4 linked regions of the Tamandua tetradactyla genome follow. The protein of the gene in region 1 interacts with the protein of each later gene in a pairwise test. Links are inferred from orthologs where the notes say so. Each region holds a gene or a part of one and is shown on either strand. Other genes may lie near its edges. The genes, in order: TNS2, KPRP, CRKL and OTX1.

Region 1 (7,781 bases):
TTGGGGGCATTTCTTCCAACCTTGATTGGTTTATTTTTACTTCATTTTTTTACTAGTTTCCTCCTCTCTCTACTGAAATCCCACAATTTGGGTTTATAATGTGGCCTAGAACCAGTGTGTATGTGTGTTTTTGTTTTGTTCTTTTTTTTAAGCCTCCCTTGAGAGAATAAATGATGGAGAAAACTAACAAGGTCCTGGTTTCTCTTGCAACAAAATAGCATAACTTCCCTGCTTTTGTGTGCACCTCTTACAGGGGTCGGCTTGGTAGATGGTGTCCTTCCCGCCATGGGCAGTATTGGTACATGCAGAAAAATGACACCTTGGTCTCTTGTTTGCAATCCTTTCTCACATAAGTCCTAGGTTATACCCTGTCCAGCCGTGTAGGGTTTTGGTTCGCATGTGCTGCAGCAGTGGACATAATGAATCATTTATCCAGTGGACATAAAAGGTATTCCAAGTGAATTTTTTAAATTATTGGCATGGACTGGCTACTAGCTAGGAAGTGAGCTTTTAGAGAGAGAAAGCCAAGGGTGGAAGGTTTTTGGTTTGTTTTTTAACTATTTGCTGTAGATGATGAAAAGGTAGGGTTTGCCCTCTTCATGTCTACTCTTCTTCCAAATAGTTGTATCCAAAACTGTTCTTTCCCAATCCCCTCCTCTCCCCCCTGTTAAAACAGGAAACAGGGATTGATTTATGTCCAGCTCCTGAATACGTGTAAAATTTGTACAAAAATATCTTCTATGAAAATGATTTGTAATCTGTAGACTTAATACCTGGGAGATGTCTTGAGATGTAAAATCCCCATCCTTTGGGTTGTGGGGTTTTTTTGTTTTCTCCAAATAAATCTGATCTTTAAAGTTCATTTTTATGTTGAAATTCTTTCACATACACCCGTACTCCCAGGGCTTTTATTGGACTTAATATTGATTGTCTGTCCTGTCCTCCCACCATCCCACCATCTCATTCAGGTTTAGGTACCATTTCATGTAAGACCAAAGGATAGAACTACAAGGGAATCTTCCTCAACACTTATTGAGGTCCAGGGCAGAATTTGCCTTCCAGCTGCCCCTTTGGCATTTTTTGCCTGGTGTCCTTTCCTCACCTTTTTTTTTTTAAATAAGCTTAAATTTAGAATATTTTTACATTGTACAGGAAAATTGTTTAGATAGTACAGAGTCCCTTATACACCACACCCAGGCTGCCGAATTTTCTTTTTTATTGTTATACTTAACAATACAGAGTCTGGGAATAAATCTTCACATCTTTAGAACAGTTCCTCCATAAATCTCTATCCTTAAGTAGTCCAAAGCTGCTACCTTGCTGGGTTATATCTTGAGTTCCCATTGACAGGATGGTCTGGGCTAGCACAACTGAGGCCACTTTTTCTTAACCAGTCCTGTGGGAAACGATTGTTGCAAGACAGGAAATGGATTAGCACAGTGGCAGAGAGTCCCTAAGGTCACAAAGGGGTGGAGTATAGAAGGTATACCAGAAAAAATCAGTGGACAATGTTGCAGACCTTGAGCAGGACCAATTGAAGCAATTGCTCTTCCAGGATTCTTTCTGTGCATTGATCACTCTTCTCCAAAGCTAACAAAATAGGGGCCAGTGTGCTGTGATGATGCAAGACTTTTCAGTGTGGGTTTAGGGAGGAAGAAAAAGATGTTCCTGCACAGACTGTAGGGAAAGTGAGCACTTGGTTAACGCAGTCACTTTTCTCCAAACCTTCAATTCTAGCGATTTCCCTACCTATGTAACACTGAGTTCTGGATAAATGGTGGAAAGGAGGAGGACTCCAATGGGAAAGGCTAATTTGAAAGGATAAGGAGGAAGGCACTCCCGTAGCATGTCCCAAAAGGAGATCCTAAGTTCAAGGAAATACTTGGCTCTGGTATGCCCCACATAATCATAGAACAATGTGCAGGCCCTCCCATAAGTCCAGCTGCAGAAATGGATGCTAGGACCATCCATTTGTTCTGTACTAATGTAAATGCTGAGCAACCAGAAAGGGGGGGGGGGGGGGGAGAGGATACAGGTGCAGCAACCTACTTAAAAGGTCATTAGGTTTGATGGCCCCATGTGTATTTCAGTCCACCTAGTCAAATTTCTCCTAAGCAAAGCCAAGTACTGTTCTGGGTCCCATGGCAATGAGGGCTCCAGTTATTGTTAAGGGCGTCACCCCAAGTACCACACCAGGTCACAGCACCTGACTTCTCAGGAAGTGGAAGAGCTTGTGCACATCTGCTCCTCAGAAGCACAATTTGTCAAATAAACCTTGTTCCTCAGCAACTACTATAGCCCCCCAGGGCCACAAGTGAAAGGAAGACTTGCCTTCCCACCCTCTCCCTCTCTCCTAAAAAGAAGGAGTTTGGAAGGGTCGAACTGTACTGCTCCCCGCCCAGCTGCAGCCACCTCCCGGTTGGACAATACACTCTCTGTCCTCAGCCGGGAGATCCGCCTCTGGAGTCAGCTCTGCCCCTTCCCCCGCTCTTCCTGGTTCCCAGTGCCCAAACCCCTCCACTGAAGTTCCCCTGACCCAGTGCTCTTCCAGCCAGGGCAGCCCCACACCCTAAATGTCCCCTCTCCCCTCAAAGTAGTCCCTTCCCCACCAAAGATCTGACCACACCCAGTCACAGGCATGAGATCACCCCGGATCATGGAAGAGGAGGTTCAGCCTTCAGTGCCAAGATTGGCTGCCCTCTGCATAGTCAAGGTAAGAAAACCTGCAGGGGGGAGGGGGGAGGGGGGCCCCTGAAATTGTTTCACCCTTTTAATAACAGCCTCCTGGCTTTCTCCTCCCTTTCCTCTTCCCTTCTGAAGCTCCCACTGCTCTGGGCTGGTAATCGAGATACCTGGCTGGCTCCCTGCACCACCCATTTTTATTTCAACCCCACTAAACCACCTGCTGTATCACTCCCAACCTTGCTCATCAGCTTCCTTCACCCTCCTTCCTCCAGCCCCCATCTCCTTAGTCACAATGTTGAGAAGAGGAATCATGTCTGAGCTAGGGGTTCAGCTACCCATCTTGTAACCCTCTCCCAACTTCTTGGGAATTCAAAAGTTCCTCTTATGGCCCCACCAGGCTGGGCAGCAATACCAGCATGACTGTGAGGTCCTAGCCCTGCTCACTTCTCTCTTCTGAGTCCCAGTATTTCCCTTGGTATATACCTTTAGAGATTAGAGCCTACCCCCCTGGCATGCATCCCAGTCCCCAGCCAAAGATCCTAGTGAACCCTGGAAGGGGCAAAATGTTAACAAAAAGGGGGGGGGGGGGCAAATGTAGGCTCCAAAGAAATGAAGACATTTCCACACCTTGTCTCTGGATTACATTACCAAATCTTGCCAAAAGACACAAAAGGACCTTCAGCTCTGACCTTTTTCCCAGTAATCTTCAATCTCTTGCTCTCTTCAGTCTTCTCCTAACTCCTGCCTCTCCCTTTCCCCCAGCGCCTTCCCTTCCCACACAGCTCCTTACCCTCACATTCCCCTGTGACCCCCACTGATCTAACCCCTGAACCTGCCTACTGGACACTAATGCAACCAAAAGTGGTAAAATCAAAGCTCCTCAGGTCTCAGCTACATCCATCCCCTCCCAAATGCCAGCCTCTGGGGTCTTCACAGTCTCTTCCCTATGCCAGCTTGGAATCAGGTGCTCCACCTCCTCGGACACAGTTGAAAGATGCGGGGGGAAGGGACAGAGGGCCTCAGAGCTAGTAGTGCTGACTGCCTTGGACAGGCACTGGGCATTGTGCCTTGGACACTGGCTTCTCAGAATCTGCCTTTCCACCCCAGTTTTCATCACGGAAACTCCAGTGGGGAGGGTGAAGGAGGGAGAAAGTTTCCGGAAGTGCTCACTGCTAAAGAACGTTGTTGGAATTTAGTACCGGCAATAGGCTCAAGAGCTTCTAGGAGGACATTCCCTCCCTTATCCCTACCCTCCAGATCCCTCCTCCATGGTAATAACTTCCAATTGTACTGGGGAAGCCCAGGGCTTGTATTAAATGTGAGAAGACCCTCTTGAGTAGAAGTCTCCAAGGGAGTGGGAATGATAGTGCAAAGCTAAAACAGGTGGTGGATGGGACTGCTGGAGCTGCCTGGGGGTGCGGTGTAGCACCAGTAAGTTTCCTGTGAGCCAGAGAAGCAGGAAAGGGTGTCCAGCGGCTTGGGAAACAAACACCTGGTGTCTTCACCTGATCTGAGCTCCCCAGACAGCAGGCCGCAGATGTGCTCTGCCTGGGGCTTTGGGGTCAGACCCAGTCCCAAGAACACTCCTGGGGGAGGACAAGTTTTTCTGTCCTTGTTTCTAGCCACCTTCTCTTCAGCATCTCTTTGGAGCGCGTGTCTTTTGCCTGTGTCCTGCCGGGTCAGTCTCTCCCGGACTCCCTGTCGCCATTTCTGGGTCTCTCCGGTCTCTGAGATGTTCCCCGTCGCTGTGTTCTCGGTACCCGTCTTTCTCAAAATCTCGCTCCCCATCTCTTAGTCTCTTTCCATCTTTCCCAGCCTCGGCCTCTCTCCGTATTCCTCTTCCTGCCCATCTCTTTTTGAGTCTGAGTTCGCGGTGGAAGGTGGGGAGAAGAGAGAGAAAGGAGAGAGGACGAGGGGCGGGGAGCGGGCGGAACGTGGGGATTGGAGCCGGGGCGCAGGAGGGAGGGACGGAGCCGCCGCGGGCGCGGGGAGCGGTGGAGGCGGGAGGGAGCCGAGTCGAGCGCGGCGCGCCCGCTCCCTCCTCCTCCTCCTCCACCTCCTCCACCTCCTCCACCTCCTCCTCCTCCTCCTCCTCCTCCTGGTCCCGCTCGGCGCGGGCCGGGGCGGGATGGGCTGGCCCGGAGGCGCCCCCTGCTGCTGCCCCGCCCCGGCGCGCCCCCGCCCCCCCGGGCGCCCCCCGCAGGTGAGTGGCCGCGCCGCGCTGGGCGGGAGGGCGGTGGCATCTGCGTCACGGCCGGCCGGGTAGTGCCAGGGGCGGTCGCCAGGGGGCGCGGGGTCGCCGGGGGTCGAGTGGGCGCGGGGAGTGGGGTGGGCGCCATTGGGCTGAGGTTAGGGCCCGAGGTCAAGGGCAGTTAGAGGCCAGGAAGTTAGAGGCCAGGAAGGTGGCCAGGGGGGCGGGTCCCGGCCGGCCGGAGGTCACACTCCGACCGTCACGGCTTCACGTGTCCCGGGCGCACACGTTGCCGTTGCCGGGAACAGGCACGGTGAAGCAAGTTGCCTGGACACACATAGTTCCCAACCCAGGTGGGCAGGAGCTGGCAGCGGCACTCAGGACCTGGCCTGGGAGAAGTGTGTGCGAGTGTTTTCCTTTTCTGCTTCACATCTGGAGAAACTAAGGCAGAGAGCAGGCACAGATGAGACTGATTGGACTTTCCAGCCCCATTCCACACATCAGCCAGTCTGCTTCTACCCTCAGTTCTCAGATCCCTCTGGATACACCCATTTACTCGGCCTTGCCTCCATCTCTCCTTCCCTGGGCCTCACCCTTCTTCCATGGCTGGGCCCTGGGCTCTCAGCCTCATATCCAACCACAGTTATTTCCAGGAAGTGGGATGGTGTGGGTGGAGGGGGTTTCTCCAAACAAACCCAGAGCTTGGGAGAGAGGGCCAGGCGGGAGCCAACAAGGGCCCTGGAATGTTCCAGGCAGAAGGAAGGCAAGAGCTCTAGGGCGGCTGATGATGCCCCCCCACCCATCCCCCACCCTCCCGCTGAGCTGCGTTTCCTTTCAGGCACTTTTCATGATCCCTATCTTCCCTGAGAGGTGCTTCACAGGGGGTGCAGAGGACTCACAGCCAAGTCAGTCCCAGCCCAGGCCACCCACCTCAGGGGCTGGTGAGTGCCCCACTCCCTCACTGCAAACACTGCTCAGGCAGCTCCTTGCTGGGCCTGTGTGGGGAGAGTCTGAGACCAGTTAGGGTCAGAGGGCATTTGAGAACCTGTCCCCTCGTGAAGTGCTCTGCCAGGTGAGGAGATTGTTCAGCCCCTCTGGAAACAGTAGCAGTAGAAGCTTACAGAAGAGATCCTGGTCAGTCATATATGCAGTAGGAACAGGGAAAAGCCCCTGGCCACAGTGCCTCTCCTCCCCCAATCAGCGATGCGTTCTAGACCAGGCCAGTCCCAGTTGCCCACACTGGCCAGGGGCCTGGAATGTCCTGGGACCCAGCCAGGGTTCCTGGGGGAGAGAGCATTAGAGCCAGAGCCCCTCTCTAGTTACAGGCTGGGGGCCCATGCCTTGTCACACAGATGCCACCCACTGACCAAGATACCCTGGGGACAGACTTCCTGGCCTGGAGAATCTTTTAGGAAAAGGCGTCAGGCTAGCCCCAGCCCATCCAGTCCCACAGAAGTGTCTTTGGTGTGCTCCAGACCACATGGACATGAGGGAGGGGGAGGGAAGTGGAAGGGTCCCACTGGGAGAAGCTGGAGTTGGGGGAGTTGCCTGAGCCGCTGGGACATTCAGTAAATGCCATGCAAATAGAGCAGGGCACATTCGCACATTCTTTCAAATGACAGGGCTGTGGTTCAAGGTTTGGGGCTGAGGACCCTTAGGTCATTAACCCTGATGTTTTCCGAAGATTACTACCTCCTTTCCAAGGCCCATCCACCCCCTTCCCTTGACTCTGAGGACAGGAAATTGGCCATGTTCCCAGGAGGGAGGCAGGAGGCCCACAGAGGGGTTGGAGTGTGTGTTGGGAGGGGGACCTCCTGTCCAGTCCTCAGGCCCTAGGACGCAGGCGGCTGAGGGAGGAGAGCAGAGCTAGAACCATGGAGGTAGTACTCAGGCTCTGGGGAGGCAGCGGGGCGAGGGCCCGGTGCTGGGGGCCTGGGATGGAAGGCTGAAGTTGCAGGACTTGAAAAGTGGGGGGCTAGGGACCTGTCAGGTCGGGCCTGAAACAACCCAGACAATGGGTGAGTGGGGGGAGCAGCTGCGGCTCTCACGGGCTCTCAGGAGAAAGGCCTCCAATGCCTTGGGCCATGGCTGGAGGATGGACCACTCGTGTGGGCAGCGCAGCCTTCCTGCTGGGACTTGGCCTTGGAATGGGTAGGGGTGGAGAGGCAGCCGGGGTGGGGAAGCAGTGCGTGTTTTCCTTTCCCTACTTCACAACCAGTGACATGAGGCAGAGAGCTGGCCCTCGGTCCCGTCTGCCCTGACTCCCAGGAGCCACACTCGGGGCCCCTCAGGATGCACTCAGTCAGCATTCTGCGGACCCTGAGCCAGCATGGTTCCCAGTCCCACCCTCCTCCCACCGGAAGTCCCAGGAGGGCCTGAGAGTCCAGGCGGGGACGCTTGCCTGGACACGGTGTTCCCCACTGGCCCTTGAGACCTGCCCTGAGACCTCGATTCCCACCCCACCCCCACCCCGCCTCATGGGGGGCCGGATCTCAGGACCGGGCATGGCTGTAGATCCCTGAGCAAGATGAACCCCGGGAACACTCCACAGGGGCCTGGCAGCTGATGAGGCTGGAGCCCAAAGGTTCCTGCACTGACATCCCAGCAGGATAGATCCTGGGAATCTGATCTCCTGGTCTCCCCCACATCCTCTTCCCCCGCCTCCACTTCCTGGAGCAGCGACCTGCCCCCTTCCCGTCTGCACTCCCCGCCACTTCCAGGGCCGGGCTTCTCGCACCAGGCAGACAGCCTACCCTCCGCCCAGGGGAAGCGGCTGCCTCCGCCAGGCCGCTTCCAGGAAGCCCTGGGCCCGGCCCCAGCATTGTTCAGGTCCCGCGGCCAGCAACCCGGCCAGCCGGACACCATGAAGTCCAGCGGCCCCGTGGAGAGGCTGCTCAGAGCCCTA
Region 2 (7,830 bases), on another chromosome or scaffold:
TGGCAGGCATGGAACTGGGGAATGGTTGAAAGGCCTCACACACGGCTCTGGACTTGGGCAAGGTGTTGGGAGAGGAATTGGCTCTACAAGTGAGCAAGGACCTGGGCGCTCGCACGACTGCTGACGAGGAAGCTGGGCTGGACGCTCATACTGCATCGGGCGAGGACGTGGGGCTGGGCGCGGTGCCGGACACGGAACCGGGGGAGACACCGGGCGCGGTGCCGGACACGGAATCGGAGGAGATACTGGACGCGGTGCCGGACACGGAATCGGAGGAGATACTGGACGTGGTGCTGGGCACGGAACCGGGGGAGACACTGGGCGGGGTGCCGGGCACGGAACCGGGGGAGACACCGGGCGCGGTGCCGGGCATGGAACCGGGGGAGACACCGGGCGCGGTGCCGGGCATGGAACTGGGGGAGATACCGGGCGCGGTGCCGGACACGGAATCGGAGGAGATACTGGACGTGGTGCTGGACACAAACAGGGTTCTGAAAGTCGACGTGGCAGAGGTCGTGGGCAGGGCTCCGGGCGTAGCTGTGGACGTGGAGCGGGCAGGGGACGTCTCTGCATCGACGGCTCTGGACATTGGTCAAGACGCCGTGGCTGACGTAAGCGTGAACTAGGGAGTGGGTGTGGCCTCAGCTCCGGGCAGGGGGCACTGGAGGGTCTCGGGGCACAGTTCTCAGAGCAGCGTCTGATGGGTGGAATCTGCACAGGACACTTCTGGGGTGGGACCTGCTTGGGGCAGCATGGGGAGGAGATCTCCACTCGGCACCTGGGCCTGCACCTCTGAGAGCTTCTTGAAACCGGGCCTCGAGAACAGCCGCTGCTGTAGATGGGCTCGGAGCGGCGGGGCGGGGTGCAGGAGTTATAGCAGCTGTAAGAGCATCTTGCTGGCAGGCAGCTGCTGGAGTAGAGCTCAGAGCGCCGTGGAGGGGAGCAGCTGCGGTAAGAAGGCTGCAGCTGACGCGGAGGGAGGCATCTGCTGGTGCTCCGAGACCGACGCTGAGCAGAGAAGCCCCCATAAGAGCCCTGGGCCTGGTATTGGGGTGCACACCTGCTCAGTGGGGCCTGGAACTGGCGCTGGGGGACACAGTAGCTGTAGCCAGCTCGTGACTGGACCTGGGGGCTGTAACGGCTGTAGGAAGCTCGTGGCTGGAATTGGGGGCTGCAGCTGCGGTAGGAGCCCTGATACTGGCACTGAGTGGAGAACCTTCCCTGAGTCTGGGGCACTGGGGGACACTCTACGTAAGAGTGAACAGGCCGAGGAGCGGGGCAGGAAACGTAGGTCTGAACCGGGTATTCCACACCGCTAGGTTCTGTGTAATGAACGGGTGTACATTCTACATAGCACGTCTCGACAGGGCACGGAGCTTCGCACTGCACGTAGGAAACCTCGGGCTGGCGTGGAGCCTGGCCCTGAGCACAGGAAAGCTGAGACTGGCACGGAGCCTGGCACTTCACCACTTGAATTGGGCATGGTGGGGGGCACGCCACCATTTTTATCTCCCCAGGAGCTTGGGCTACCACCTGGCTCTTGGTACAGGCGCGCTGGGGGGTGCAGAAGGAAGAACCCTTCACACAGCACTGCGGCTGAGGGCAACTCTGCTGCTGGTCACACATGGTCCTGATGTGGGCAGGTGAGCGGGACCTGAGGGCAAAGAGAGGGTCAACAGGGTGACAGTGGCTGGAGACGAGGGATCAGAACCTAAGGGAAGCCGCTCTGTTTCTTCCTTGGCCTTTCCCCCCACTGCCCTCAACCTCTACCCAGTTAAATGTAATTCGCAGTCAAGTTCCGTAATCCCCCGTGGAGGCTCCTTTGTAAGTCAGCAGGGCCCAGGACTGTCCCCCTTGTCCGTGAGGACAGGAGGCTCGTGCCACCTCCACAGCCCCCAGGGGCGGGGGGCCCCGACAGGAGGTAGAGGCAAACCCCGAGCTCCTCAGGTGAGCCCTAGGAGGAGACACCACCCACTAGAGCACAGCTTCCCTCACATGCATGCACCACAGCATCTGTGCAAAAGTGTGTAAAAGTACGCACTTGGAAACTTGCACACAGGCACCATCGGGGTTCATGTAACATAAAAGATGCAATTGGGAAGTAAAGGATCCGGTCAGCTATTTGGCACCCCATACACAACCGAAAATAGACTTTTTTCTATATTCAGTTTTTTCTTAGGTGAGCTCATTTAAGCAGGCCCTCTAGGGACATGCATAAAATCTCACACTTAAAAGACACACCAACCTCCTAAAGTCTCAGAACCGGCTTGCCCAGGCGGGTCGCCCTCCTGTCCAGGACTGCCTCATCCCCTGTGCCTCTAGGAGGCAGGGTGGAGTCATCCGGACAGACAAGTCACCAGGAGTGCGGAACCTTCACCACGAGGTCAGCCTCGCCGAGCGCCCAGCTGCCAGACTCTTCCCCGCGTGGCCTCAGGGATGCGGCAGCAAGTCCAGCACCAAACACCACGGGAGGGGACGTGGCGGACCACCCCTGCCCTCCGGAAGCCCACCTGTCCAAGAACGGACAGCAAAAGGCGGAGCCCTGCAGGAGGGCTGATTTGACTACTGGCTCCTATAATGAAAGACTTCTGTGTAAGCTCCTGCAGGGCTGGAAAATGTTTTTTATTGAAAGACAAAGCTTTCCATTCTGCAGTTATAAAGAACACACACACGCCCTGGGAGAAGGCGACCCTCCTACACTCAACTCGGTTCACAAGGTGCAAATTACTACTGTGTCTTTTCCAGGGCGGGCTCATCCAAACGGGAAAAGTGGGATGTGAGGCTGAGGGTGGGATTTTCAAAAGCCAAATCCACCGACTTTACAGCCCCAGGTCCTCAGACAAATGCGACAGGGGGTTTTCTTTGTCCCCTAAAATTTCACCGGACTTTTCTTCTCAGGCTGATGTGCCAGTTGTTCTCAGCCCCCAACTCCTCATTGACCCCTGAGCACCCCCCTTACCCCGACCCAGGACCCAGACTCACCCTTCTCGCAGGCAAGCAGGCACGCAGCTGAGGCTCTGCGCTGGGCTATCCTTATATAAAGGGTTATGGGTCCGGCTTGGTCCATGAGACAACGGGTTGGCATCTGTGTGCCTCATCGGCCAGCCTGGCATTCCAGCAGCGGGCCCCTCCCTGTATGCCTGTCCTCGCAGTCACCTGCCCGTGTGGGAGTGTCACCTCCGTGTCCACGGCCCTGCACCATGAAGGGACAGATCCTCCTTTCCTTCCTCCGTCCTCTACCCTGTCAGTTTCTTCTCCATCCCTGAAAGGCTTGGTGGAAGGGATGGAGAAGGAGCAGAAGGGGACCTTCTCTTCCGAGAGATGCTTTTAAAGCCTTATCTTTCTCCTATGCCAGTTTCTGCCTGATACATACATAGGAGAAAAAGTTCCCTGACTTGAAGTAATGAAAATAGCCTCAAAGTTAAAGCAATACTATGGAATGAAGATAATCTGAGGCCAGAGCCCAGAGTCTGAAGCCCCAGGTAAAGCACTTAAATGGTGTGTGACCTTCTTCACCAACCTTAGTTTCAATGTATTCATCTGCAAAATGGAGGAAATTCAGTCTTCTTTCCTGAACTGCTGTGATGAGTAAGCCAATTATTTTAAACAAAAGCATGCAGCCCATAATTTTATTTACAGTATCCGACATCCACTCAGAGTGAAGGCTGTCTCTAAGCCTCGGGCACAGACCACTGGGCTCCTGCCACATCCCGCTTCTGAGCTAAGTACTTGAAGGCTGCACTGCAGGGACTCAGCCCATGCTATGGAGTAGTCCTGGGAGACAGAACAGTGTAGGACAGAAATTACAGACGGGCATCTTGTGAACCAGATATAGGCAGGATGAGACCTTTTGCCTAATAGGATTTAGAAATGTTGTAATTAATTATAATATAATAGAAATAGGAAAATTTTATTATACTAGAAATAGGAAAAGTTTACTTAAGATTACAGACATCCAGCATTTAACTTAAAATCAAGGATCTGATATAGGTGAACCTACCTTCCGTCACCCTGATCAACAACTGCCCCTCTCAGATAGGGCATGTACCTTTCTCCATTATTTACGTCTACAACTCTCCATTATTTCTTTTCACATCTACAGTTCAAAACAAAGTGTGTTTCCATTTATTATTGCATTCATGCTTTTATTTTTCTTTGATGTTCGAAGGAAATTAAAAGGAAACTTTCAACTTTTACTCTTTACCTGGATCAGTTCGCTTGTTTACGTGACCCTCTCGCCCCTGTAGACATTTAGGATTCTGCTCAAGCTGGTGAACAGACTTCGGATTTAGACATATTGGGAATTGACTCTCAGCTCTAGCACTTACTAAATGGTTGACAGCTATGTTCCTCCATGAGCCTCCTTATCCATACAATGTAAAAGAGGAAAAGATGAAGGGAATGAAGAAGGAAGAGGGAGATGGAGAACAACGGGGAGGAGGAGGAGAGTAGAGAGAAGGAGAAACAGAAGAAATCATAGGAATATTATGTGAATTAAAGGAGAAAAGCGATCTGAATTTAATGCTTAATTAGCCATTTAGTATCAGGGCTTTGTTTCCACATAGGAAGATGGGAGTGATAACAGCCACCTCACCAGGTTCTCAGGAAGATAAAATCAGGTAGGTATGAAAGTGCTTTGTGACCTGCAGTGCTGCACACATGCCAGCTGTGTCTACAAAACCCCTCTTACGTGGAGTCTCTGCCAAGATAGACGTGACTTGGGCGTCTTGGCTCTGGAGCCCATCGCTCATCCCAAAGGGCGCTCCAGGAACCACTCCAGACTTGAGCAAGAGGACAGGTTTCCAGAATATCAGAGCCACAAGGACACCTGGAATTATCTAGTCCCACCCTGTTGAGAACTCTAAAGCCCAGAGACCTTCCAGGGACCGAAAACGAACAGCTGCTCTTGCAGGGACTGGATCCCAAGCATCCTCCCTCCTAGACCAAGTCTCTTTTCCACTCCAATAAGTCATTCCTTTGACAACACAATTTGGTCAAGGTATTCTGTTGGACAGCCCCAGGCTTGATGCTCACTGAAAAGGTAGCCAGGAAAGGAGTAAAAAAAGTAAACTGAGAACATAGGCCTGCTGGCTCCACCCACCATGAGGCAAACTACCGAATCCTATTGACTGCCTCTCCCATTCATCTCCCGACATGCACACACTTCCTGAAGGGAAGGTCTCTACCTTATTCATCTTTGTGTCTCTAGATTTCTTACTTTATATTAGTCAGCGGATGGACAGATGGATGCCATGACATTGGGCTTGGATCATGCATCTGTAATCACTGGAAAATGAATTTATATTGTCTAATCCAGTGACCAAAGAACATAGCCATCCCTATTACTTCATGCTTCTTAGGAAGAGAGGAGGCTGGCTAAATCTTGCCGTTGATGATCAGGCTAGGTGTTGGAGTTTTCAAAAATGTAATTTCAGAGACTGCTCACTAAGCGAAAAGCAGAGGATTAAAGTCCTGGTATTCTTCTTTTTCTGATATGTAGGTTCAAGAATTAGAAAGTTGTTAAAGAACTGGAATTAGGGCTGAATCCTTTAAAGGCAGGTATAAATGTGACACATTCTTTTGTTTCTTTTTTTTTGTTTCTTTGGCATGGGCAGGCACCAGGAATCGAACCCGAGTCTCCGGCATGACAGGCGAGAACTCTGCCTACTGAGCCACCATGGCCCACTGTCTTTTGTTTCTTGAGGTAAAATCTCCCCAAGAACATTCTGTATTCGGAGAGGTCTTTGATCGAAGTAGTTCATTTAGATAAGCTTCAATGGAGCCCTCCAATCTCTGTGAGTCTATATATGTTTTTAGACTTTCAGTTTTTGCTCAACCACCTCAATGTGGACAAAAATAGCATTATCTTCCCATGCATATTTTCTCCTCCCAAGGTCCCATTTCAGAAAATAGCCCATCCACAACCTTTTTCAAATACAATATCTGTGAGTCGCCCTTTATCCTCATTCTGCCTCACTCCAACATGTAATCCTCATGTGCTGTTTATTCTGCTTCATAAATGCTTTCAAACACATCTCCTACTCTCCACCGCTACTGCCCTGCATATCTCAGGCCATCTCTTACATTGACTGATGGACTAGTCTTCTGTTCTTTCTTCCTCCAGAGAAAACATGCATCTTCCAAAAAGCCACAAGAGTGATCTTCCTAAACATCCAAGCTAATTATATTATTTCCTTTGCTCCCGTCGTGACCTGGAAAATGATCACACTCCTTTCCAGGGATACAAATCCCTTCATGGCCTGGCCATAATCTACCCTTTCGTGTTTATGTCAGTCCCGTTGCCATTACCTCCCCACTCCCCTGCCACCCCACAATGACATCAGATGCTGCCGTGCATAACGGTTTTACATGCCGTGATATTTCATGATGCCAAATCTTCTCAAATGCTGTTTTTTGGAATGTCCTTTCCTCTCTCCTCCAGCTACGGAGACAGCTCCAATGCCACCATCTTTGAAATGTTCCCTGACTCCCTAAAGTCATGACTCACTCTGTGTTCTGGAACCCTTTGTACCTGCTCCATCGCTGAAGCACCGTACGTTCTGAGATCATTTACACTCCTGTCTTCCTCACTGAGTATGATTTCTCAAGGAAAAGAAGTTGTGCTTTGTTAATCCTAGTATCCAAGAAATAGGCCCTGTGCCAGAACATTGTGCTCATGTTACGTTGTTGATGAAATAAATTTGATGTTCTAATTAAATTATGAGACTCTTTTTGGGACTTTTGGTCCTTTGGAGTCCTGACGTGCCAAATCTTAAAAGAGCTTAGTGATTTCTTAATCCGGGGAAGTAGGCCATAAACACTTCTCTTCTGGCTGCAAAAGATGTACATTTTCAATAGATTCTAGAAGATTTCTCCTTTTTTATAATTTCGTAATCTTCTTTCACCTGCCCCCGTCACTATAGAAGCCAAAGGTACTGGGACTCATTTCTGAAATGGAGTTGATATTTATCATCTGAGCGGTCTTCTCATATTTCCATGAAATTTCTTAAGGTCTTGTAACCCCCAGCCTTAAGCTTTGAGAAAGTCAGTTTTCTCTGGGCACCAGGGTGCCATTGAGTCCTCCTCCCTAAGTCCAGTTTCAGTAAGTCAGGTAGGTCACCTGGGGCAGAGATAAAGGTAAAACAGAAGTAGCCAGGTTGTCACTGGATGGACGTTAAATAAATGGAGAAAGTATAGAGGGTATTATGGGCTGAATTGTGCCTCTCAAAAAGAGACGTTCAAGTCCTAACCCTAGTCCCGTATATGCGAGTCATCTGGAAATATGACCTTTGAAGATGTTAGTAGTTAAGATGAGGCCAGACCAGATTGGAAGGTAGAGGGCACTGTCCCACATGATGCGTGACTTCATATAAAAAGAAGAGATGTGGACACAGAGAAGGCAGCCGTGGGACGGAGGCTGCCGAGCCCTGCAGACAGCAGGCAAGCACGGTCTTGCGAGCACAGGATGCCTCCAGACTGGGGGGCAACAAATGTCTGTTGTTTTAAGCCACAAAGTTTGTGGTCATTTGTTATGGCCCCTGAGTAAACTAAGACAGAGTGACATGAAGAAAAAGAGGCTGAATTTGGAAATGCGTAAATGAAGAACATTTAGAAATGAGGGTATAAATGTAATGACATAAAAAGTAGAGCTACATTATCTGCCTTAACTCACATTTACGAATTTATAATGTTGCTGTGATTAAGTGAAATATAAATACATCTAGGTTTCATTGGCATGATAAAAAAGGCAGCTTATATCATGTCTGCTCAGCAAGTTGTGTCCCTGCTAGTACAGAGACTCTGGGCTTGTAGAAGAATAGCTATCTTGCA
Region 3 (7,221 bases), on another chromosome or scaffold:
CCAGTATACCGAAACTCTTCTCCTATGATCCCCTCTTCTCCTTTAAGAACCACATTTCCCCCACACAGCTGTATTTGTCACCTTGGCACCTTTGCTGGAAGACTCAGCCCAAGGCCTGCTTCTTTCAGGCAGAGCACGCTACTTCAGCTAGGCCTCTTCTGTTATAGCCACTTGGCCTAGGTTTATTTCCTTCATAGTATTTACTACTCTTTCAGGTGTTTTATTTTTCTGCTTTTCGCCTGTCTCTTCCACTAGAAAGCAAGTTTCATCCCAAAGAAATGAAGCCTGTTGCCCATCTTTCAAACCAGTACCCAAATCCTGTGATGTAACTCTCATAAATGGTTTAGCTCAAAAAGTGCTCTTAAAGAGCTCTGTTTTGATGCCTGAAAAGCTGAACAACTTCATTTACCTTGTTTAGGGCATTACATTTAATTTTGCATTTGGCCAAACACTAGCTGATTAGCTGACAGGTGCTATCAGCTGATGAGGGATAGGTTTTTCTACAAGACTAATAAAAACCAAATCGATGGGATTTCAGGTTTGGGAGAAGCAATCCAAAGCTTCAGTGTGACAAAGGAAATCTAGCCAAGAGCCAACTGAATGTGTACAAGTAATAGCACTCAGAGCCATGGGGAAAGGGTAAACCACTGCTGTTACAGCAATGGGCTGGGGACAGGGTGTAGGGAATGGCATGGGAGGAAAAAAACTGAATGTGGCGGACGGAGTGGGGGTGGGGAACGGGGGGGCTGACTCTGTAGGGTCAGGGAAGGCTCCATTATTTGTGAAAGGACTAGAACCATAAGTGGATTTAAATAGAAGAGTTAAGTGGTCAGTGAAGGGCCAAGAGCCTGAAAGCAAAGGTACAAAGGTCCATGAGCCGGGCTGGCTACCAAGACTCAAGCCAGCGGTCCAGCGGGGCTGCACCAAAGGAAGGAAGGGAGGGAGGGGACCAGGATGGTGACAGAAAATCATTCCTCGCAGGGAAGACAGATGGGACTCAGGTTGGTGGGTAGTGGGAAGCCACTGCAGCACACTTACATCTACTTCTCTCTCTCTATGAGCAAACCACTACCATTAACTCAATGAAGCTCAATGCTTAACGAAGGCCTGAAATCAATAATATGATTCACCTTCAGAAATCAGGGAGTAATTTACACAAAAGGATAAAAAAACCTCATTACTTATGGGAAATACGATTCTGTCCACTTTACCACTGTGTTCAAAACTGACTGCAATTACCAGCATCTGCAGGGACCAAGAGACCTCAGCAATTTGATTCTTGGTGTCCTGGTCTTTGTTATCCAGCATCTGATTTATAGCCACTTTCGCCTGGATTTTAAAGTCACTTTCGCATAGTGGTTAATCTTACAGTCATTATACTGTCATGGTTTTATTTTTTTCTCTGTCTATACCAGGAGCAAAACTCTGGCATCCAGTTGGTGCTCCCTGACTATAATAGTTGTTCACATTTAACCTTCTGAGTAATATCTTGTCAGCAAATTCGTGAACGTCAGAAACAATCTCACCCTGAAAAACCTACAACAACAATTTGCTCTTTTAAAATGTTGTTTAAGAAAAGAACTGGGTAATGAAAATACATTTTAAAAATTCTGGGCAATTTCCTCAGTTCAAATTTGGCATCATTTAAATAAAAAATTTTCAAGTCCCAGGAGACTTCGCATATAAAATACCTATCAAGACAAAATGACCAAAAAAATCAAAATAATGCATTCTACTTGGAAAAGCACGTAACTGATGCTCAGTGTCATTTTACGTTAACTTTCATATAGATAATAAACTATTAGGCTTAACACAAAAGCTACATGTGAAATTCAACTAGCACAAGATCAAGTATCATTCAAACATTCCCCTAAATTACATTCTAGCTTTACTCCATCTTGGAATTTAACCAAATTTATCTGTAGCCTATTAATGACCCAGAACTTGGGGTGGGGGTGGGGAACTTAAAATAAGTCCTCGATGAGGCTAAGACACCCTTTACAAGTATTACTAGTATTATAATTATAAAATAATTGTCTGGCCCCACCTGACACCAGGATATCAGTATCCAGGTCTGATAGGTCACATTTAAAAGTTTCTAAGCGCTCAGGCATTTTCATTTGCCGATTGTTATCAAGGCTGCACTCTCGGAGTTCTTACCCCAGAGCGCAGAGATCTGCAGAGAAGCAGAACCTGGAATGGTGCGCACACTTGTTTACATACACTTTCGGCGGGGGGTGGGGGTGGGGGTGGGGAGAGGGAGGGGGATGCCACGGCTATCGTCAGATTCGCAAAGAAGCCTGTGGTCCAAAAAAGATAAAACCCGCGTGCACACACAAAACCCTCTAATTTGGTCGGATGGTCAGACAGAGAAGGCGACCAGCGGCGAAGAGCATGGTAACCCTGCAGCCACAGCAATGTGCACCCAAGGGATCCAGACCCTAACACTAGCCTGCTTTAAGGAATACATCCTGAGAAAAGGACACGGCTCAAGAATGGGGGAGGAGTCAGGGCGGGCTCCAAAGACCACCTCACCCCACCCCAGGCTCCCGGGCCCCAAGCGAGCCGCCCTGCCCCGTCTCGGCGCGTACCTGGGCGCGGGCTCGATGAGGGTGGTGGTGTCCAAGTAGTGGATCTTGTAGAACTCCAGCAGGGCCGGCAGGTGGTCGAACTCCTGGTCCCCGATCTTGAAGCGGCGGTTGGGCAGCGAGTTGATGATGTAGTGGGAGACCCGCGAGTTCTCGGACACGGACAGCACGTAGTCCCCGGGGCAGGTGGACGAGTCGCGCACCAGGAACACGCCGTGGCGCTGGCCCTGGAGCCGGGTCTGCGCCTCCTGGCGGGACACCGGCCCCATATACCAGGCGGAGCGGTCGGAGGAGTCGAACCTGGCGGAGGACATGGTGTCGGGCCCGGGGGACTCCGAGGCGAGTCGGGGCGGCGGCTGCGGGCCCGAGGGAGCGGCCTCTCCGGCACACCTCGAGTCGCGCTCAGAGGGCAGCGCCGGCTCCTTCCCCGCGGCGCCGGGCCCGCAGCATCCTCCTCGGTCGCCGCCCGCCCGCTCCGGGGCCGACTCGGGGCGCGGGGTGGGGGCTGAGGGGAACAGACCCGGGGACTGCGGGGCAGGGCCCGGGGACCGGACGGCCTCAGAGGTCTCGGGCAGTCCGGCGCGCCGGGGTTGCCTCTGGGACCTCCTGGCTCGGAAGGCGCTGGCTCTGCGCCCCCACGGCTCTGCACCGGATCCCGAGGAGCACCGTGCCTCTGAGGCGGTTTCGCTCAGCCCGCTCCCGGGAGCCACAGCAACAAAATGGCGGACGCGGGAGAAGGGACCGGCCACCTCCCCCTCCGCTCAGTGCGCTGCGTCTGCGCACGCGCGGCGCTTCGGCTCCCAGCGGCCGCCGGGGCCCGCCCCGTGGCGTCACTCGGCGCAGCCAATCAGGATCGCGCTCGCGTCGCCCCCGGCGTGCGCCGCTCGCGCCGGCTCCCGCGTTCCGGGCAGAGGAGGCGGCGGCCTCGGCGGCTACTGCGGCGGACACTCCCTTTCTGGGCCGCCGAGCGCCGCCGGGGGCGCTGCTGCCGCCGCGTCGCCCGGGCCAACTGGAGGCGAGAGGCAGTGGCGCTTCGAAAACTTGCTCGTGAGGGAACAAAGGGTCAAGCGTAATGTGCCGAGTCTGTGGCTCTGAGGGGACACCCTCAGATAGATGACCTCTGAGGGGTGGCCTCAGGGCCGCAGCGCGGCCTGGTGACCCGGCGGGCCTCCAGGGGTCGAAGGCCGCATCCGGGGCCGAGCCTGGACGCCGCGGGCGCCGGATGGCTGCGGGGGAAGTGCAGACGCCTCTCAGCCCCGGTTTCTGCCTCCTTCGGCCCCATCTCTTACCGGTCGCCCTCGCTCACCCCGCTCCAGCCGCGCCCTTCTCGGCCATTTCTCCCCAACAGATTTGGAAATTTGGAAAGAGCCGGCATCTTGCGTGTCTTGTTCACCCCTGGATCCAGCACGGTGCCAGGCCTGCAGCTGACGCCAAGTATCTGTTGAATGAGGGACTGATGGGAGAGACCACTGGGCTTACTGGTGTGTCCGATCGGTAGCACCGTCCCCCGGAACTGGACAGTCAAGAAAGCATGTGCGGAAGCGGAGCGGCAGGCAGCACACACTCACAGATTATTCTCCCAGTGGAGTTTAACTGGCCGTTTGCATCCCCGAGGTTGTAGGGTGATAGGTCGGTCCCAGTGTAGGGTAAAGCGGAGATACGAAGTCTAGTGCCTTCTGTTACTCAGCATAAGTAGGTTTTCTTCTTCCCCAAAGATGCTTGCGTTTCGTGTTAGTCCCAGGTAAAATTTGGATATCACAGGATTTGAAGCTGACCGCTTGGGTTCAGGTCCTGGCTCAGTCAGTCCATGGACCGTCTGGGCAACCTTGGGCAAGTGAATCATTTGGTGTCTCAGTTTCCTTAACTATAAAATGGGCATAGTAAAATAGTTGTTACCCGCTAGGTAGCAGTAAATGTATTAAACAAGTTAATACAAGTGAAGTGCTTAGAATAGTACCTGGCACATGGTAAGCATTATAGAAGAGTTTTCTGTTACTATTACTCAGCCTCTGCCTGGGCTTTCAGTTGCCTAAAAGCATGTGCAGATGTCTTGGTACTTGGTTTAGGATGGGGAGAAAAACCTCCGCTTGTTTTTCTAGCTACTTCTCTTTGGCAGATTTTACCACTTTGTCAGTGCTTATTCCTTGCCCAGGCCTTCTTAACCTGGCTTCTACCCGTACCTTATCCATCTCTTCTTTCTGTTGAAACCATCATTGTGTTGATCTCCCTGGCCATAGGAAAAGTCTCCTTCTTTGGCTCTTGGGACACTAATATAATTTTTTTCTTAACTCTCCAAATAATATTTCATCTCTTTCTATAGCATTTTTGTCTCTGTAAGTGTAGGAACTCAGTGTCTAGCTTCTTTGGTAGGTTCATATTAAGAAATGAAGTTTTCAGGTGTCACCTGTCTGTTGGTAATGCCGAAATACTGTATTCTAAAAGTAGAACAATAACTGACCACACCCTATCATTACTATGCAAACACTGTGATCACAGCCTAATATGGGCCTTATCATATTCTATTCTAATTGTCTGTTAAGTATCCCTGTTCCTCCCTAACCTGTGAGCATCTGGTAGACAGACTAGTATTTTTTGTATTTGCGGTGCCTAGCACATAAGACACACTTAAATGCTTTTTGAATGCAGGTGGATAAAATGATGGGAAGAAACCAGAGGAAAGTGGAAGAATGTTTATTTTAGTGAAAGTAAGAAGAGTGTAGTTTTTTCTTGTACTTAAATACACATTTGGACATAAGGCTTAGCCCCCATATCTCTCTGTTTAATCTTCCATTTGGATTAAACTCTGTCAACTCCCCCTTTTCTGTCAACAGCATTTTCCTAATTTAGAAGCTCAAAGTCTTAGTCATCTTTTACTTAGTTGAAGAACTCAATAATATCTCATTTATGTGCCACTTTTCAATTCACAGCAATTTATATAATATATTGTATTAATCCAATCAGAGTCCCACAAAGTACCATTTCATAGATTCCAGAGGCTCATAAAGGTTAAGTGACTTGTTTCAAGTTGTAAAATTTGTAAGAGGTAGAGCTGGCAACCTGAAGTCAGTTCTTTTGATTTGAAGTCAAGGCCCCTGTTCTAATTTACTAGCTGCTGGAATGCAATATACCAGAAACAGAATGACTTTTAAAAAGGGGAATTTAATAAGTTGCTAATTTACAGTTCTAAGGCTGAGAAAATGTCCCAGTTAAAGCAAGTCTGTAGAAATGTCCAATCAAAGGCATCCAGGGAAAGATACCTTGGTTCAAGAAGGCCGATGACTTTGGTTCAAGAAGGCCAATGAAGTTCAGGGTTTCTCTCTCGGCTGGAAGGGGCACATGGTGAGCAAGGCGTCATCTGCTAGCTTTCTCTCCTGGATTCCTGTTTCAAGAATCTACCTGGGAAGTGTTTTCCTTTTTCATTTCCAAAGGTCGCTGGCTGATGGTTCTTGTGGCAGTGTTGTTCTGCTCTCTCGAATCTCTCTCATTCTCCAAAGTGTTTCCTCTTTTGAAGGACTTCAGAAACTAATCAAGACCCACCCAATGGGTGGAGACACGCCTCTACCTAATCCAGTTTAACAGCCACTCTCGATTAAATCACATCTCCAGGGAGATGATCTAATTATAGTTTCAAACATTCAATGCTGAATAGGGATTAGAAGAAGTGGCTGCCTTTACAAAATGGGATTAGGATTAAAACATGGCTTTTCTAGGATCCATACATTCTTTCAAACCAGCACAGTCCCATTTCACTGTTACACAACTACCTATGATTTAGTCTGTATTCTTTGTTTGATAGGGAAACCAAGGCCCTCCCAAGTAAATTCTAGCACCAAAAAGGAATATCAATCTTGAAATAGGGAGGACTGCTGGATTTGTCTCCAGCTTGCATTTCAACTGCACCACTGTTCCGCTAGCAAGTTGCTATGTGCTCCTCTTTAAAAACTTCTCTTAAAGATGGAACAAAGTACCTCTCCTTTTGCTTCAGAATAATCCAGTAAGGAATAGGGTGTGAGTTGGATAAAGGTGAAAAAAGATTGGCCACATATTCACAGTTGTCAAAGCTGCACGATGTGTGTGTGTTTGGGGGGGGTCAATTATATTATTCTGCTTCGTTATGTTTGGAATTTCTCATTAAAAAATTAATGTACGTTCCTTATCCTCTTTATCACAGATGAGACAAACTTTAAAAATAATCAAAAGGAGAAATGATAAGGAAACAAAATATATAGGTGTAATGTATATAGGTTCATGATTCTCTCTTAGCTTCCTTATTCCCAGGGTTTCCAGATGGTATTATACTTAGACTTTTTTCCTCTAGGATAATCACAGTCTAGTCCCAAAGGACAGACAAGTCTTTTCAAGCAATTAAGTGGATTCCTTGCTTACCAACCCTGCACCTGCTTCTGCGCAGAGGACAGGACCTTGGGACCTGTTGTTGACCTTGGGCAGTCCTGGATTGCTGGATCCAGACTGCCTTTCTGGAGGCACGAGAAGAGCAAACTCTGTCCCTTCTTCCTTGCCTTGATTCTTTTCCAGCAATGATGCTAAAGTTAGAGAAGAATGACACTGCAGATACGGAATTACGTGATGTGTCACTTCATTGACTTGGTAAGGTCAGCAGTACTCAGGTGCT
Region 4 (7,608 bases), on another chromosome or scaffold:
CCCTTCCTCCATGTCCCCTCCAGCCCGCCGCCCCCCCCCCCCCCCTCGCCCCGGCCTGGTGTTGGAGAGGTGTGTCGAAACACCACCGGGAAAACACATTCTGAGGGAATAAATGGGGGTAAAGGAGGAGCCGGAAAAGAAACCCAGGGTTCGGCTCAAGCCTTCCCTTCAGCGGTTTTGGTGCAGGCCGCTGGTCCTGGGCACAATTTCATTAGGGAAGGAGAACTCGCCTACCTCAGCCCAGCCCAGCCCGTCGCGTTGATTAGGAAAATTCGGCCTTAGGGCCAAGCGCTTTTCGTTAGGGCTTAGCAAGTGTCTAGATTCCTCATTCAACGTTGGGGGAAAAGGAATAAATCCACACACACAAAAAAATAGCCACCCGTGGGAAACGAATTCGCGGGTAAATGCGCTCTGCCCTGGCAGTGAGAGCATAATAGGAGACAGGTTGCTCTTGTGGCCGGGCCGGGAAGGTGCTCATCACAAGTTCTCGCCGCCCTGACCCACCTCACCCACCCGCGACGCTGCTGCGGCAGGCGGCCAGCAGTGGGTTCTGTGTTGTGAACAACTAGGTAACTAGCTTCTTGGGCCTTCTCGGCAATAAAAGCATGCGCTCAGAGCCGGTAACCTGGGTGTTCCCAACGTTTGCAGGGGCAGGGGCCCGGGAGGGCGGGTGCTCACCCGGATAACCCACGGAGGGGTGCAGCAGGTCCATGGCCGGCCCCGCCAGGCCCAGCCCGTTCATGCCATATGGGGGTTGTTTGAGGTAAGACATCATGCTAACAGCCGGGTGGAGGCGCCCCGACGGATCCAGGGGGCCGCGGGCCGGGCACGGTGCGGGACTCCCACCGCTCAGTCCTTTGAACTCTGTTGCGTCTGGGGACCGGGCCTGTGAAGATACGAGACACAGGGAAACCGTAATTCAGAGCCACCCCAGCTCCCAAGTCTTGCCCGAGACAAAGATCTGGTTGGAAAGGGGGAGCAAGATGAAGCCCTGGGCAGAGGCATCAATTCTGATCCACAAGGCCCTAAGTCCAGAGACCATAGCCTTGAAAAACGTTTCTGGATGTCGTTGCCTCTGTTCGGAGTTGAAATTGGCCAAAGACTCTGGCAGGACGGCAGGGGGGATTGAGAATTGATGAAAAACCCGGTCAGGCTAAGGGCGACAGCAGGGCCGAAATCGTCCGGAGTGCAAGGTTCTAAAATTTTGAGTCCGGCGGGAGCCGATCTCAGGCTGCACCACCAAACACTCACTCGGCGCCCTGGCCGGCCTCAGGCTGCCAAAGCTATGAGGGGTTGTTTCGTTTTGTTTCAATTGCTTTTGAAAGTGAGATAAAAAGTAAAGATTCCAGAGGGCCAAAGCAAGGCACTGCGAGGACTGGCCGCACGTCGGCCTCTGTGGGACGCGTTGCTCACTCGGGGGCCTGCTCTCCCTCAAGGTTTCCGTGGCTGGGGCCGAGCCCCAGCGTCCGCAGCCAACCCTACAGCTAACCTCTCTGCTCCCAGTCACTGAAAGGCTGTGCCGGAATCTCACCACAGCTCAACCGCAGTTATCCACCTAGGCCCAGCAAAGGCGGTCAAAGGAGGCAGAAGGGGTCACGGTAGAGGTGGCAGTTCCAAGATGAGGCCCGTAGTTCGGGGAACCTCAGCCGGGGCTGTGGGCCTCTATTGGGCGGCGCAGTCTGCGCTTTCTTTCTGCCGGGTCCTGTATAGGGACAATGGGGTCCCGGCCAGGTCTGAAGGCTGATCGAATCCAAAGGGTCTCCGGGATTTGGGAGGCTGGGTTGAGGCAAGCGCCGTGCGCTGCCTGCCTATCCCTACTCCCTGAACCCGCGATCCCGGACCCGACCGAGAACTAGGCCTCAGCGGCGTGGCCCGCGCTGATCCCGGCCAGAAGGTCAAAGCTGCGCTTCCCTAACTGCTCCGAACCCTAGGCGCTATACTCGGGGGTCAGGAAGAGATTCTGGTAAGTTGGATTGGAGCCCAGGAGGCCTTGTCGCTCCACCCCGTTTGGCGGGAACTTTTCTTAAAGCAGGCCTCGGGACCTGGGTTAGGGAGTACCGCAGGAGAAGTTTGAACTGAAGACGCACTACCTCCCCCCATACCCCACCCGGGTCCGCCGGGACCCTCAGCCTGGACTGAGAGAGCCCTGTTCGCCGGGAAGGGGAGGAAGAAGAGGGCAACAGCCGGTACTCTTGGACCAAAGGAGAACCAGATTCAAGCGCGGAGGGTCTGCTAGGCTGCTGCCTTGAGTTTTCAAAGACTTCCTCCAAACTTCGGCTCGGCGACTTCGGAGGAGGCGGGGGAGGGGGCAGAGCGTCGTAGCACCGCTTTGGGGCCCTCCGCACACCTAGAGAGGCTCCAGGCCGCTCCCCCGGCCCCGCCCCATTGCCCAGGACTGGGGGAAGCGGGTACCGCGTAGAGGAGGGGGAAAACAGAGCAATCAATGCGCTCCCGGAGTTCCGCGCGACCCCGCGTCTTTCTCCTTACCTGTTCTCTGCCGCTTCGGCCTCTCACCATCTACACTTCACGCCCTTACAGAGACCCGCCCGGCCGCCAACCTGCAAAACAGAGCCGCACAGGAATTACGCATCGGGCCAGGCGGCTGGTCTTGGACCCCGGGATTTCTTTCTTTCCCCAACTTCCCTCCTCCCATTTCTTTCTTCTTACCCAATGGCTTTTGTGCGTGTTCCTCCAGGTTTCACTTTAATGCACACTTTGTTTGCAAAGCCCTACACGCTCCCGGGACATTGCCTCGCCCAAGACCGCGCCGAGCAGCCGCGAGTGGGGAGGGTGGAGGGTACGGGGGATAGAGTTGGAAGGAGGTTCGCCTTTACAGCTGCACTCTCGGGGCAGCAGGGAGACAGCAGGGCCTGGAGAAGTCCTGCAGAGGCACTTTTCAAACTAAGTAAATCAAGCAATTTACCTGGTCGGAGTAGCTTGTCTTGCTTGGTTGTTTAGGTGATTGGAAATGTAGCTTGATGAAGATTGATCACCTTTCTACTGCCCTCCCCGGGTAAGTGAATGCGAGCCGAGTGCGTAACGGGGCTAGGCCGCCAATCCAGGGCCCCGCGCGGGCTGAGTGACAGGGAGCCGGGCAATGGCAGCTCGAGCCGGGGGTTACCTCTGCGCGCCCCCGCCCTCCCCCGCCCCTTGCACCCCGCCCTCCCCCGCCCTCCCTCCACCCCCGCCCCGGTCGCGCGCTAACTCTGGGGCTCGGTTTGCAAATACCAAACAGATCGAGACGAGGAAGGCGAGAGCAGCGACCAAGCCCAGGCCATTGAGGGGGCGCCCGTCCCGGGGCCTGTCCAGGGGCCCCCACTCCTCTCCCGCCCTCTTGGCGCTCCGAAGGGAGTGGCAGAGGGAGGCGAGGTGCTGGAGAACCGGTTTCTTAGCTCTCCCTTGAGCCCACCCGGCTCGGCGACCGGGTGTGGCCGCGAGGACTCTGGGGCCGGGGGCTTGAGGAGCGGGGCCCCCAGCTTCTCTTGCGGCGCCGCGGACCTCAGCGCCTGCTACCTCTGCGCAGCCACCTGCAGACCGACCCCGGGGGCGGATTGTGCTGGCGCGGGCAACTCTGCGGAGCGCGAGAGCAGCTCCGGGCGCGCAGATCCCTCCTCCGCACCTCAGTACTTTCGCGCCCGGGAAGAGCACCCACAAGGGAGGCATCCCCACTTACCTGCTCCTCGGAGTCTCTTGGGGTTTCCGGTCCCCACGAAGAGTGCTTTAAAATCTTAAACGCTTTTTCGGAGACGTTCGAGTCCAACGTTCCCCCTCTCCACTTCCCCTCCCTCCTTTCCCCGCACACACACTTTACTTCTGAATGGAGAGATTTTGATAGGAAACTTTCTCTTTCCCACTGTCTATTTCTCTCCCTCCTCGTTTCCATTACCAGGGACAGTCTGTTGGAAAATGAGACCCCCTGCCCTCAATTTCTTTTCCACGTGCCGCGGAGTGAGCCTCCTTGAGGCGATTTCACCGGATTGCTCATATTGGCGAAGTCCATTTCCCAGCCGAACAAACTTCTCAAACTCGTCCACCTGAGTGGACTTTTCAAAGCGCCACAAAAGTGCTTTCGCCCCTACTCCTGAGCAAGGTAATTCTTTTAAATGGCACCTCCTCCTATATTATTACTCACGGATTTACTCCCTTTCGAGGAATTCTTACCCTTTTTTCCTAACCCACCCTCCCCTAACAGGCGTAGTGAAAAGTTTGAACAGGAAGGAGAGTAGGTATGCGGGCAAGTCATGGAACCACAAGGTGCATCGCCGTGGCCAGCGCCCGCACGGCCCGGGCCGCTGGGTCCCGCCTCGCAAGCCGACCGGGCTCTGGGCGAGGAGGAGGAGGAAGGGGGAGCTCGCTGAGTGAAAAGGGGCCGCCGCAGCAGCTCATCAAAGTGTTTCCCCCTCCCCCAAGCGACACTTTCCTTTGGAGTCCGAATAAAATACGGTAACAGAATATGATGGAGGGCACACTGTTTCCTTAACTGCTTCTCAAAGGGCCCGGGAGATCTTCTTAGGACCTTTAATAAGGCTTTGGTCGGTTCTTTTGTTGATCTCTCAAAATCAACTCCTTCTAATTGAAGTTGGAGCTGAAAGCGAGCTAATGTTCAAAGAAAGTGGCCGCCAGACCAACGAAATTACATTTTTTTTTTGACGATGAGGGAACATCTAATCAAAGGGGCATGGAAGGAGGGGTGGGAGTGAGGGAGTACGAAGGAGAAAAGGAGGTTTTACAAGATCCTTCTGTGGTTCACAAAAGTCAGCGACACGGGCGCTTCTCTACAGAACAAAGACACCGCGGCTCATTCACAAAAGGGAAAGAGAGAGAGAAAGCAGAATAAAAGAACGAGAGGAAAGGAAAAACATGGGGGGTGGGGTGGGGTGGAAAAAGCTGTAAAAGGAAAAGAAGCTGCGCAGAGCGCGGCGCTGGCCCCGGGGCGGACACACCTCAGGCTCGCCCAAGGCCCCCGTCGAGAGTAGCCCGCGTTTCGGAGCCACGGAGATGGTGCTGAGGTTTAAAGAAAGAAACAAAATACACTCCCCTCCCCCAGGCCCAGGAAAAGACGCCTGCTGGAGGTGGACAAGTTTGGTGGGAGGATGTGTGCGGGACTCCTGGCGTACGCTCCGGCAGCGTCCGCGACCGTAGCCCTGCCCTACCCGGGCCTGTGCGCTCTGTGCTTGGGTTTGGACCTCCCGCTCCGGGGTGCGTGTTCTTGCCCTAGCCCCGCAACTTCGCCTCCTGCCTCCTTTCGGCGCGGTTTTGCCTGCAGCCGTAGCACCGGCCCGGGGATCTGCGCAGCTAAATCGGGCAGCGGTGCGTTCTGGAATGTGCCGGCGCGGTCCCCAGGGCCCGCCGCGCGGGAGTATGGCGCTCACAGCTCCAGATGCTGCCACCGGTCTGGGGGAAGTCGGGAGGTATCAAGTAGCAGGGATTCCCCCCCCCCCCATGAGAGTATTTATCTAATCCCAAATTGCAGGCGAATTTTCTTAATGCTCAGCCCATAAAATCCCGGGATTAAGAGAAGAAAAAAGGGAGGAGAGGGAGGAAAGTAGAGAGGGAGAGACTGAAATGAAAGTTTCCTGTACGAGGCGCAGAGGATTGAGGCGATCGTCGCTAGGCAAACGTCCAGGTGGGAGACGCTGGGCCAGAAGCCACGACTATTTCAGCTACGGCCGCAGCGCGGGGAGGGGAAAAGAGGTCAGCGCTTCGGGAGGAAAAGCGAACCCAGCTCAAGGTCCCCAGGCCGTAGAGAGGGAGAGGGAGTTGGGACCCGGGACCCGGAACCCGCAGCTAAGTAACCTCGAGGCCCGGCCAGATTCTGGAGGACACCGGACAAGGGGAAGGGTTTGGCTTCCGGGCCTAGGGATCCTGGCCAGGGACAGAAGTTCCATAAGGGCCAGCCGGCTGTGCTCAAATCAGCCTGCCGCTAACGCTCCTCCTCCCCAGCGACTCCCGGGCCGTCAGCCTCTCCTCCCGCAGTACGGGCTTTCAAGTTCCCCGGCCCTGGGCGTCCCGGGCCGGCGCCCACGCCCGGCAGAGCGTTCTTGGGCCAGCCGGGCGAAGCCCGAACGCGGCGCCCTCGCCTCGGGCCTGACCCGGCCGGTCCCCGGGGTCTGCACTCCAGCGCCGCCGGTGGGAGTGCAGGCGCCACGGAGCCAAATGGAAGCTCCGCGAGGCTCAAGACTGAGGCAGGTGGGGCGGGAAGCGGGTCGGCGCTGCCATTCCCGACCGCCCTGGCAAATCCGGTGCGAGGACAGGTTTGCACTTCTCAGCTCAGTAGCCCTTCGGGAGGGAAAGTTTCCCCAGTCCTTCGTGAACCGAGGGGGTGACGCTGGCCGCCCAAGCCCCAGGCTGTTCGGGACGGGCGATCTACATCTGCTGGCTTTCCCCGAGTTCTGAGAGCTACCCCCGGAAAAGCCGCGGCTCACTCTGCTCTTCCGTTCGAATAAAAAGGGCAAATACCTGATTTCACTTGGTTCTGATAACTTTTCAATAACTTTTCTTAAAATCCTTGTCATGAAGAAATTCTACCGTAGCAAGTTTTAATTGGCTTTTTGAAAGGCAGCTGGAGTCGGCTACATGCTTTTTCGAACAGAGTTTATGTGTGTACGTGTATGTATATGTGTATATATGGGTGTGTACAAATATATACGTATTTATAAAATCTAGACTAAAATATAAATTCTATTGAAGTGTTTCCTCTGAGTCTCCAGACTTGTTGAACGAGCTTGCTTTGTTTGGGACCCTTCTGTAGCAGAATGACTGAATGGAAATTACCATAAAATCGTCAATTTTTTTTCTGTAACCTGAACTTTTTGTTAAAAGTTCTCTTTCCCTCATCACACACACACCTGCCCACATTATCCACCCACCTCCTTCCCCAACGATAACCCCCTTCCTTTCATTTAAGTTCTTACAGACTGTGGGATATCAAAGACATAGTTCTCCTTAAGAGTGCAAAACTTAACAATGAAAATAAGTAATAATGTGGAAAATACATCAAGATTTTATCATTTTCAGTGAGGTGGAATCACAAATTTCCTCAAATCTTTAACAAAAGAGATGACCCTTTGCCTGGATGATAGTTTATACTGCTAAGAACATATGACTAATTGCTCTTCAATTCACATTCATGTGTCAGCAGGGCCCCTTTGGGATGTTATAAACTTATTCAGCTCCAAATACAGCCGTGCCCTGTCCTGCATTTCAGAGGACCATTTTTCCACATGTAGAGTCTTATGGATACACAAATTCCACTTAGCCAAAGTGTCAAGTTTTCATTGCAAGAAAGCAGCAGCGGTGTTTAAGGTAAGAAAGTTTCTGCTTTTATTGAAAATTTATATGACTCAGTATTGTAATAAATAAACAGATAACCATTTTCACAAAAAAATGACAGTGCTATGTTAGAGAAGAAAATATTAATTGGAGGGATTTACTCAGTGGCAAGACAGATTTCTATCAACACAGAATAAATATTAACAGCATTCTTCAACCAACAAATGGAGGAGCCCAGCTAGATGTAATAAATAATTATCCAGAGAAAAAGATGGTGCATTCTCAGATGATAAGCCTGTCTTTTGTAAAAGGATGCATGTCAATTAGTTCCATCCT

What was found.
Region 2: the proteins of TNS2 (region 1) and KPRP interact in binary tests that used the Homo sapiens proteins (3 or more experiments, as listed by UniProt). The two-hybrid records come from large-scale screens. The link is inferred for Tamandua tetradactyla from reciprocal best matches to the Homo sapiens genes TNS2 and KPRP.
Region 3: the proteins of TNS2 (region 1) and CRKL interact in a two-hybrid assay, tested with the Homo sapiens proteins (2 studies listed by BioGRID and IntAct). The link is inferred for Tamandua tetradactyla from reciprocal best matches to the Homo sapiens genes TNS2 and CRKL.
Region 4: the proteins of TNS2 (region 1) and OTX1 interact in binary tests that used the Homo sapiens proteins (3 or more experiments, as listed by UniProt). The two-hybrid records come from large-scale screens. The link is inferred for Tamandua tetradactyla from reciprocal best matches to the Homo sapiens genes TNS2 and OTX1.

The regions. Positions count from the first base shown.
Region 1 is NC_135333.1:114,410,823-114,418,603, forward strand, and holds the start of TNS2 (tensin-2), read left to right. Parts: upstream 1-4,770; 5' UTR 4,771-4,813; coding exon 4,814-4,888; intron 4,889-6,661; exon of another isoform or gene 6,662-6,750; coding exon of another isoform or gene 6,751-6,756; intron 6,757-7,441; exon of another isoform or gene 7,442-7,739; coding exon of another isoform or gene 7,740-7,781. UniProt on the Homo sapiens protein: Tyrosine-protein phosphatase which regulates cell motility, proliferation and muscle-response to insulin. Phosphatase activity is mediated by binding to phosphatidylinositol-3,4,5-triphosphate (PtdIns(3,4,5)P3) via the SH2 domain.
Region 2 is NC_135330.1:2,486,788-2,494,617, forward strand, and holds the start of KPRP (keratinocyte proline-rich protein), read right to left. Parts: upstream 3,009-7,830; 5' UTR 2,983-3,008; intron 2,573-2,982; exon of another isoform or gene 2,246-2,572; intron 1,655-2,245; 5' UTR 1,627-1,654; coding exon 1-1,626.
Region 3 is NC_135331.1:26,757,506-26,764,726, reverse strand, and holds the start of CRKL (crk-like protein), read right to left. Parts: upstream 3,001-7,221; 5' UTR 2,903-3,000; coding exon 2,592-2,902; intron 1-2,591. UniProt on the Homo sapiens protein: May mediate the transduction of intracellular signals.
Region 4 is NC_135343.1:35,958,664-35,966,271, reverse strand, and holds the start of OTX1 (homeobox protein OTX1), read right to left. Parts: upstream 3,012-7,608; 5' UTR 2,924-3,011; intron 2,559-2,923; 5' UTR 2,518-2,558; coding exon 2,488-2,517; intron 887-2,487; coding exon 679-886; intron 1-678. UniProt on the Homo sapiens protein: Probably plays a role in the development of the brain and the sense organs. Can bind to the BCD target sequence (BTS): 5'-TCTAATCCC-3'.